2 linked regions of the Macaca fascicularis genome follow. The protein of the gene in region 1 purifies or fractionates together with the protein of each later gene. This does not show direct contact. Links are inferred from orthologs where the notes say so. Each region holds a gene or a part of one and is shown on either strand. Other genes may lie near its edges.

Region 1 (5,047 bases):
AGCTCCAAAAAATTACTAAGAAAAAGACAAAAACTGATAGGAACTGTCAAAGAGTATGAATAGATAATTTTAAAAAATAAATCCAATTATCTGGTAAATATATAAATTATGCTAAACCTCACTAATGACCTAGGAGTATAAATTCAAACATTCTAGTCTATTAAAAATTTAAATGACTAACAATAGAAATCGTGAGCAAGGATATAGAAAACGGGCACTGTCACTCATCACTGATTGGACTGTTAAATTGGTACAACGTTTCTGTAGGACGATTTCACAATATATACAAAATTCTCAATTCACATATGACCACTTCCAGGAAACTTTCCAAGTAGCAGCACAAGTATGAAAAAATATGTGTCTAAGAATGCCTACTGCAGTATTTTTTAAGGAGATTTAAAAAAAAAAAGAAAGCTAAAAAAATTATGGTTTATCCATTTGGTAGACTGCCATATAGCTGGTAAAAAGAATAACAGTAGTGATAATACTGGCCAGCGTAATTAAGCTCCCATGATGTGCTTTTCATGAGTAACTATATCACTTAATATGTATATCCATTAAACCAACATGTCATCATGTCCAGATGATATTGTTAATTGAAGTACAAGTTTCTGTTGATTTAACTGTGTATAACAAGCATGCTTTCAGGTGTTGCTTGTATCATTAAAAAGTGAACAATAAATTTATGACAAAAGAATAACATGTGGGCTGGGCACAGTGGCTCACACCTGTAATCCCAGCACTTTGGGAGGCTGAGGTGGGCGGATCACCTGAAGTCAGGAGTTCAACACTAGCCTGGCCAACATGGTGAAACCCTGTCTCTACTTAAAACACAAAAAAAATTGGGCCAGGCGCGGTGGCTCACGCCTGTAATCCCAACACTTTGGGAGACCAAAGCAGGCAGATCACCTGAAGTCAGGAGTTTGAGACCAGCCTGTCAATATGGTGAACCCCTCATCTCTACCAAAAATACAAAAATTAGCCAGGCATGTTGGTGGGCACCTGTAATCCCAGCACTTTGGGAGGCCGAAGTGGGTGGATAACCTGAGGTCAGGAGTTTGAGACCTGCCTGGCCAACATGGTGAAACCCCTTCTCTACCAAAGATACAAAAATTGGCCAGGCATGATGGCACGTGCCTGTAATCCCAGCTACTCAGGAGGCTGAGGCAGGAGAATCGCTGGAACCTGGGAGGCAGAGGTTGCAGTGAGCCGAGATCTCTCCATGGCACTCCAGCCTGGACAACAGTGAGACTCCATCTCAAGAAAAAAGAAAGAAAGAAAGAAAGAAAGAAAGAAAGAAAGAAAGAAAGAAAGAAAGAAAGAAAGAAAGAAAGAAAGAAAGAAAGAAAGAGAGAGAATAACACGTGTAGTATATGTGACAAAGACTGACTATGATGACCACACCTGTTGATCCCTCCTGGGCACATAGCTAAACTACATTTCTCAGCCCCCTGCACCTAGACGGGGTGAGGGGAGGGTAAGGGAGGTCATGTCGCTAGTTTTTGCCAATGGAGCGTGAGCAAAATCAATGGCCCTTCCAGGCTGAGGCTTTTGTGAGCAGGTGTGACTTCTCAACTCCCTCAGCGTTTTTCTCATCCCTAAATCAAGTCCACATGTAGGAAGAAGCAGTGTCACAAGATGGCAGGATCCTAGGCCCCTGAATACCTGAATGGAGCAGACCGTCCTCCCCCTGACCCCTGCATACTATTGTGTTAATTCACTGAGACTTAGGATTTGTAACAGCAGCTAAAATTATTTACCCTGAGCAAATAGAAAATAATTTTTGTAAAAAATGAAAACCCATAGAATTGTGATGGCACAGAGAAACTGCCCTATTTTACTTTACTTGCTCTGCGTTGTTTGGATCTTCTACAACAATTAAGGCCGGGCGTGGTGGCTCACACCTGTAATCCCAGCACTTTGGGAGGCTGAGGCGGGTGGATCACAAGGTCAGGAGTGCAAGACCAGCCTGACCAACACAGTGAAACCCCGACTGCACTAAAAATACAAAAATTAGCCAGATGTGGTGCCACACACCTGTAATCCCAGCTACTTGGGAGGCTGAGGCAGGAGAATCGCTTGAACACGGGAGCTGGAGGTTGCAGTGAGCCGAGATCATGCCACTGCACTCCAGCCTGGGCAACAGAGCTAGACTCCGTCTCAAAAAAAAAAAAAAATTAAAAAAAATTTCTGCAAGATGAAAAGAAAGCTAGAACCTAATCAATGATATGAATGCATCCAAAGGACGATCTGTCCTTGATTTTGGAGGAAACATGCTCTGGGGTGCTGCTTTCCTCTCAACAAGTTCAGATTCGAGAAAAGCCTGTAAGAAAGGGGAAGGGAAGCTTGTCTCCTTCCTTAGGGTCCCAGGGAGAGCCAAGTGGCTTTTGATGTGATGGGGAGAGCGTGGTCGTTAGGCTCAGAACTTGGGTTGAAGTCCTGCCTGACACCTACCAGTGTGCGACCTTAGGTATGTTCAAGAATCTCTCTGTGCCTCTGTTTTCTCCTACCCTAAAAACCCCTATCTTACAGAGCTGATGTGAGAGGCAAACAATTAAATGTTATTAAAGTATAAATGTATCTACTACTCAGTAAAGATGGTTGAGACTGTGTCATTCAACAAATATTTACTGAACATTTACCCGGAGGTCAGGCACAGTGCTAGGTACAGGGGCTATAGTGTTACCCCTCATGGAACTTCAGGTCTAATGGGAAAGACAGACACAAAGTAACTATCAATACTGAAGCAAACATTTTCCTAATGAAAAAGTATTGGGTCCTACTGAAGTATACCCAAGTACAACCTAATAAACATGGGAGGGGTCAGGTTTGGGGGAAGAGCAGACGTGTTTACTCATTACTGAATTCCCACTGCGTAGCTCAGGGGCCTATGCCTATAGCAGACACTGAATAAACCCTTACCACTTTCCCTCTTCTTTTTCCGTGAAGGACTGGACTTGTCTGCCTCCTCTCTAGGTTTTCTATTAATGCTGGCCAGACAAGGTGGCTCACACCTGTAATCCCAGCCCTTTGGGAGGCCGAGGCCCGTGGATCACCTGTCGTCAGGAGTTCAAGACCAGCCTGGCCAACATGGTGAAACCCCGTCTCTACTAAAAATACAAAAATTAGCCGGGCATGGTGGCGGGCACCTGTAATCCCAGCTACTCGGGAAGGTGAGGCAGGAGGATCACTTGAACTCAGGAGGCAGAGGTTGCAGCTAGCCAAGATCGTGCCACTGCACTCCAGCCTGAGCAATAGAGCGAGACTCTGTCTCAAAAAAGAAAAGAAAAGAATAGCACAATGCTGCTCAGTTTGGTGTTTATTAAGGAGCAATGTACCCTCCAAGATAAGACCACCTGAGCTCCTGGGTCCATATCCTGTCTCAGTCAGAGCCAGATCATTGCCAATTCACAGTAATTCTAGGATGGTTGCCTGGCTGCCACTCAGGAACATATGTAGTGCTACTGGGGCTTGCTGTGGCTTTACATGACTCCTAGCTTACCTGAGATGTAGACCTCATTTTTCAACGTCACGCATGCAAACTCCACCCACTTCTTATTCTCACTCTCCAGCTCATGCTCCGTTAGCGGGAGCTTGGCCACCTCCAGGCGGCTGCGCCTCAGGGGGTCCAGGCAAGTCACCTCTGCCACAAACCGTTCATCCTTCGTGCAGCCACCGATGATCATGAACACCTCAGACTGGAACTCATGCATCCTGGGCTTGGTGCGCTCCGAAATGATCTGGAAATCAATGTGGGCACATAAAGGCAGGACAACACAAAGTTTCAGAGCTCGGGCTATGGAGCCATTAGGAGCTGGGTCCAATTCCCACATCTGCCATGGTATGACCATGTGACTTCACCTCCCTGAGCCTCAGTTTCATCATTGTATAATGGGGATATTAGAGGTAACTACCTCATACGTGTGTTGTGAGGATTAAATGGGATAATGTATAGAGTGTGCTTCACCCAGAGCCTGGTGCATAACAGGTACTCAATCAGTGTTACCTGTTTTTGCTGCTGTTTTAAGAGATTGGGGTCTACGTACCATCAGATGCCCTTCCTGCCTTTCCTCTCCTGCCTAGTCTGAAACCTTAAATCCTGGAATTTCATTTTGGGCTACTTTCCATTCCCCCTTGGCTTTAATTTCCTGATGAGACCTCAGACTTTGCTCACCATCAGCCTTCTGGAAGAGACATCCTGGACAGTGATGACCTACGAGCATTCAGTGACTTAGGAAACAAGAACTAGAAGGAATCAGGGTGTGGCCAGGGAGGGAGGAAGGCTGGTTCCAACATACAGTAAATGACCTTTCAGAGCTTTGAACCAGTGAAGAAATCCATACTATGGGTATTTGAACCCTGCTGAAAGAGCAGAGGCTCGAAAGTCAAATGTACCAGCGTTCTATCACCTGTGGCCATGTGACCTTGGAGAAGTAACACAACCTCTGTAGACTGCTTGTAATCATTTCTGTGCTCTCAGATAACTGTGAGCATTCATAAGGTCATGAGGTAGAGGTGTGAACAGAGCACCTGGCACACACTCGCCCCTCAACAGCTAATTATGCCTGTAGGAGCAGCGGTAGATGCCATATTGATATTGCTATAAAAGGAAGAGCTGCCCTTCTTGGTTCCATTGATCCCCTGGGCTCTATGATGAAGGTTCCATAGGTGTGCTGATGGGAGGCAGAGAGGCAGCCACCATTTCCCAGATGGCCAGAGTCGCCAATTTTCCTACAAAATTAGACTGATTTAACACAGACTACAGAACTCCGATTCTGCCCATAGGTGGTGACAAATAGGTTACAGCAGCAAAGACTGAGCCCTCAAACAGTGAATCCAACCAAGAGCCACAAATAATCAGACCAGCCAACTCCCAGCCTCTAATTTTCCATAACAGTCTTTGGCTGGTTGGTTGGTTTTCTGTGCCTAGGAGCCTGGTACGGTGAATTCTGCATCCTCCGATCTTGAGGCTGGACCATGGCCATAAAGTTTGTGGCAGGGCAGTTCCTTATGGGTCAGCAGAGTGGGGATAGGTGTGACTGGACAA
Region 2 (5,047 bases), on another chromosome or scaffold:
GAGTTGAGCTATGTATTAATAATCACATATTTATGCAAATAGTGTACAGTAAAACATTGGTACCCTGACTGTAATCCCAACAGATTCCAAATACGGTGGCTATGGGCTCAGAGACCAGTGACTAAGGCTTTGGGCTTCTGCATGAAGTATCTACAAAGTGCAACCGGACCACATGGGGAAGGCTCACAAGAGCTCCCCGCTCAGAGGGAACCAACATGAGAGCATCATGACCTGCTCCATGCTCTGCACTGAGTTCACCCAACAGAAGGCAGGAGAATCAAGTCAGTGTTTTAAGGCAGGGCTGTCATGACCTCTCAGTCCATGGAGAAGGCAACCCCAGGATCATGGGCTCACTAGTGCAATCCAGGCAGCCAGGGCTGCACCTTCAGAGGTCTAGCTAGCCAGCCCCAGTACTGCTAGTGCATCACTCATGCTCTCATACCTCCACAACCACGTGAAGCTCAAGTGAGGAAGAGGCCATAACGGCATCTGCAAAGTCAAATATGACATAAAGGAAAGGAACTGGTAGTAGTCACAGGAGCCCATAGCTTGGAAAAAGGCTCCAGGCTGTGTAATTAATGCATAGGTTTTATATGTCAGGGGTCAGGGGATGAGGAACTGAACTGCTGGGTGATGGGGTGATCATCACAGTATTTGTAGGCAGGAGAAGAACACTTCTCTGGTCTTTGACTACTGAACGCCACAGGCAGGGGAGCACACAGGGTGAGATTTAGAACAAGAACCACTGTCATCTGCCGCTGGCCATCAGCAGAGGTAGGCCCTGGGTGGCCAGGAGAGTCTGAACTGGGATGGGTCAGTCCTAGCCCCACTGCTGGAAACCCTATACACCACACATACGGCCTCGCGTAGGGCCTAAATAGGAGGCCCTGTTTAGGATGAAACGCTCACTAGGAGAGGGAGCAGTTGAGGCCACCGCAGCACCAAGGAGCATGCTGTTTGTGCCCAGGTTGGCCCCACCTTTGTGTAGCCAGAGTGAACTCCATCGTCCAGGCTTGATATCAAGACTGGAATTAAGGTTGGTTCAGGATCCTGCAGCACTGACAGAATACCCTCCTTTCAGTACCTGGCCCGCATGTCCCTCCGAGCATGAGGGCAGCCAGGACAGAGTCACTGTGGGCCCAAAAGATAGTTTGTCCCTGCCAGTCAGCACTGGCCAGGGAAGCCCAGGCAGAAGCCTGTCAAGCACGTCTTACAGCAACCAAAACAGATATCTTTATTGCATATTTTGCACATATGAAGAATATATCTGTATAAAATTCTAAAGACTTTTGTCCAGACTTAATATTTTTTTCACCTTTATCCCTTTTACCACGCCCTGTAAGCACCCCAGCAAGAGGAAAGAGGAAACAAGTTAATTCAGAACATGTTGTGCCTCAATGTATCTGTAGGTGACCGCCACTTGGGCACCAGCACAGAGCCACCACTGACAGGGTTCAAAGCTTTCATAGGGCAGAGGGAGGTGAGACACCAACAGATCTGGTTCAGGCATGCAGCCCAATTTGTGAGTGAGTCTGCTAACTGGTAACATGCGAGCTGTTCATTTGGATTCACACCTTAATCTTACTGTCCTGAACTCTTAGCTAATGCCTAACCAGCAGCTGGGTAAGGAGAGCCAGTTGGTCAATGAGCCTGATTCTCTGAATTTATTAACTCTGCACCCTCCAGAGTAGCATCTGTAAAAATTCAACCTACCTTTTCATTTTCAATTTACTTGTTTTTGCCTTAGATGTAATAACAGTGGAGCTCTTTGGAACGACCAAGACCTCAAAGGGCCAAAGCTCAAGTGCCCACAGAGGCAATCTCTGAGCAGTCTGGAAAATGCTCAGGAAAACCCATCTGCCCTAGCAGCTGAAATTAACAGCCTCACTGCTTAAGTGTAAACAGGTTTGTTGGTCAAAAGGGGCATCACTGCAGGTTTGACGTCTACCTGGGAACCCTGCACACAGGTGCCCAAACTTACCAAAACACACTTCCCGGGCTCGAGACTCCAGAGAGAACTCTCAGTGTTGATCTTGTGAGTAAGCTTCCCTTCCATGAGGACACGCTCCCCATTTTCCTCCAGCATGGCCACACGAATGGAGCTGCTGCTAAGGGCCACTGAGACCTGAGGACATAGCAGAAGAAAATCATCTCTCCTATCAGGGTGACCACTGGTGTTCTGTATAGTGGGAGGGGTGACAGTTTCCAAGGTACCTGACTGCACACTACAGCGTTGTCATCAGGCTCACCAGGCATCTCAGTGAAGAAAACCGTATCAGCCTAATTTATACCTAGAGCAACCTGCAGATGTCAGCTCATGTAGGTAAATCCACCAAAAAATCTTTCTCAGCATAACTGGTAACATAAAGTGCTATGGTGGAAGCTGCTGTGACCCAATCTTCTTCTCCCTTCTCCAGTTAAGGGAGACCAATTGTCACCGCAAAAAAGTAAGCAGAGGAGACAAGCGGTGAGTATTTTTCCCTTGCCTCCCCTTGTGGCTACCTGGGAGATGCAGGAGCCCAGCCCTGGACCACAGCAACCAAGAGAGCTGACGGGGCTGCACATCCTGAATTGCTTACCCCAGGACTGTTGTACAAGAGACAAGCACCGCCTCTTCCTTCTGTGAGCTACTGCACTGCCTGGTGACTATAGCCTGGTCTTCATCCAAGAGTATGAGACCAATTCCTTTGATTTTGGAAGGCAGCTATGCTCACCATTATACCACCAACGTCCCCACATGGTTTTGCATTTTGTCTCGGTTCTTTACAAAACCAAGCCTCTAAAAGCCTCAGCTCACCTTCGTCCCTCTGAGCCTGTCCTAGGCAGACAATGGCCCCATGGCCCTCCCCACTGCCCTAGGAACACCTATCCCTACCCCACCACTTGTCTGTCTCCAGAACTGGACTGGCAGCTGCTGGGAGTAGGATTCCTTTTACTTCATATCATGTATTCCAGCCAGCAGTCTCCAAAGCAGGGTATGCGTACCCCAGGGGGTTCACAGGTCAGTAATTAGAAGAGGAAATAAAACAGAACTTCCATTTACATTTTGTATCTGTATAAGGCATGCATTAAGAAGACACTGGGATCAAGTACTTAAAACTTTTTTCTAATAGGTATGTGGAATAAAAACAATTTGGAAGCTACTCTCCATGTCATCTGGTAGGTGACTCATTAAATGCTTATAAAATGATTGGAAAAAAAGACAACCCAAACTGATAGGTTTTCCAAACTGGAGTTTAGTATTTGCCAATGAAATACAATACCATAACCTACCTGTATTTTAAATATTCATAAATAAAAAATGGAAATGGAAGAAATGATGTGCAGGAGTCACTGCTGTCAGACAGTTTTTCTTTTTCTTTAAGAGACACGGCCTCACTGCATTGCCCAGGCTGGAGTGCAGTCGCGTGATCCCAGCTCACTGCTGCATCAAACTCCTGGGCTGACGCAATCCCTCCACCTCAGCCTCCCAAGTAGCTGGGACTACAGGCAAGTGCCACTATGCCTGGCTAATTTTATTTTTATTTTTTGTAGAGACAGGGGTCTTGCTGTTGCCCAGGCTGGTTTCGAACTCCTGGCCCCAAGCGATCCTACTGCCTCAGCCTCCCAAAGTGCTGGGATGACACATATGAGCCACTACATCCAGCCCATCAGATAGTTTCTAAATGAAAGATAGTTCCTGAGCCATGCAGTGAGGGGAGAAGGTGGCAGAAGGCTGCCCACTGCAGGACACAGTGAAGATATTCTGTTAGGCATGGGCAGCTCTGCCAGGTTCACATGCAGACTCCAAGGAAACATCCTCTCATGAGACCGCAATTCCACTTGCATGACCTTTCATAGGGGAATTTACCATGGAAAAGGGTATTTACTTGGCTAGTCCTATTGAACAATAGGCAACTGAGCTTCATTCCTGACCTTCTAATACCATGAGGAACGTGAGCAAATGGAACAATAGATCCACTCACTCTTGAAATGAACCAGACACATGTTGGGCCAAATCATGTCTAACCATAAACTTGTGTGCAATGGAAACATGACACAGAGGGCCCAAGGCTCCTCGGTCCTGCCTTCACAAGAACAAGCTCACTTAACAAATATAATTCTCCCACCCAGCTCTATATAACATAATTTCCAAATTTGGGGAAGCTTCTCACACTGCCTACCCAGGGGAATGAACCAAATCATCAAGGTAGAAAACCAGACAAGAAATGCTTCCAGAGGTCCCAGGTGAAGATGTCACACTGGGAACAGACAGTCAACTTTCTGACCTCTTGTGACCTGCAGACATAAAAGGCATGAAGAGAAAAAACCCAGATAGTGAAAACAGGGGAAGAGGGAGGCCAGGAACAGATGAGATGTCAACAAATCTGCGGAAGACAAAAGGAGGAGGGACACAGGAGACAAATTCTATGGCATAGGAGACATCCAGAAGCCACAGCTACATGGGCTCTAGCTGGGAGTCAGCAGGTATGCAGGGCAGGAGCAAGGCCAGGGGCACATGTGGGAACTGCTGTGGCCCTGGATGCCCCATTGAAAGGGACAGGAATCCCTCTGTTTGCTACAGAAGAATGGAGGACCTTGCTCCAAAGACACTGACCAGCAGTCTGAGGACCTAGTGTGGATGCCTGTGTGTCAAGAGAAGTCCTACTCACTCAAGCATTAGGATGGCCAAGACCCCATGTCCTGTAAAGCAAAGCTGACTGGTCAATCCACTCAGCTGTCAGTGGTGGTGGGAAGAGCAGACTTCAGACACACAGTAGACAAACCCATCAATACAGTCCCACACTCAAGAGAATGGGAGAAAAATATTTTTGTATTAAAAAAAAAAAGGGCCAGGCATGGTGGCTCACACCTGTAATCCCAGCACTTTTGGAGGCCGAGGCGGGCAGATCACCTAAGGTTGGGAGTTTGAGACCAGCCTGGCCAAATTGGAGAAAAACACATTTCTACTAAAAACATCTCTACTAAAAAAAACATCTCTACTAAAAACATAAAATTAGCCAGGCACCAGTGGTGTTGCATGCCTGTAATTCCAGCTACTATGGAG

Evidence for each region. The genes of interacting proteins can lie anywhere in the genome.
Region 2: the proteins of KLHL6 (region 1) and NUDCD3 purify together in Homo sapiens (affinity purification with mass spectrometry; 3 studies listed by BioGRID and IntAct, counting the BioPlex papers as one, with this or other methods). This does not show direct contact. The link is inferred for Macaca fascicularis from reciprocal best matches to the Homo sapiens genes KLHL6 and NUDCD3.

What each region holds. Positions count from the first base shown.
Region 1 is NC_088376.1:95,415,997-95,421,043, forward strand, and holds part of KLHL6 (kelch-like protein 6), read right to left. Parts: intron 3,741-5,047; coding exon 3,503-3,740; intron 1-3,502. UniProt on the Homo sapiens protein: Involved in B-lymphocyte antigen receptor signaling and germinal center formation.
Region 2 is NC_088377.1:85,927,649-85,932,695, reverse strand, and holds part of NUDCD3 (nudC domain-containing protein 3), read right to left. Parts: intron 2,126-5,047; coding exon 1,982-2,125; intron 1-1,981.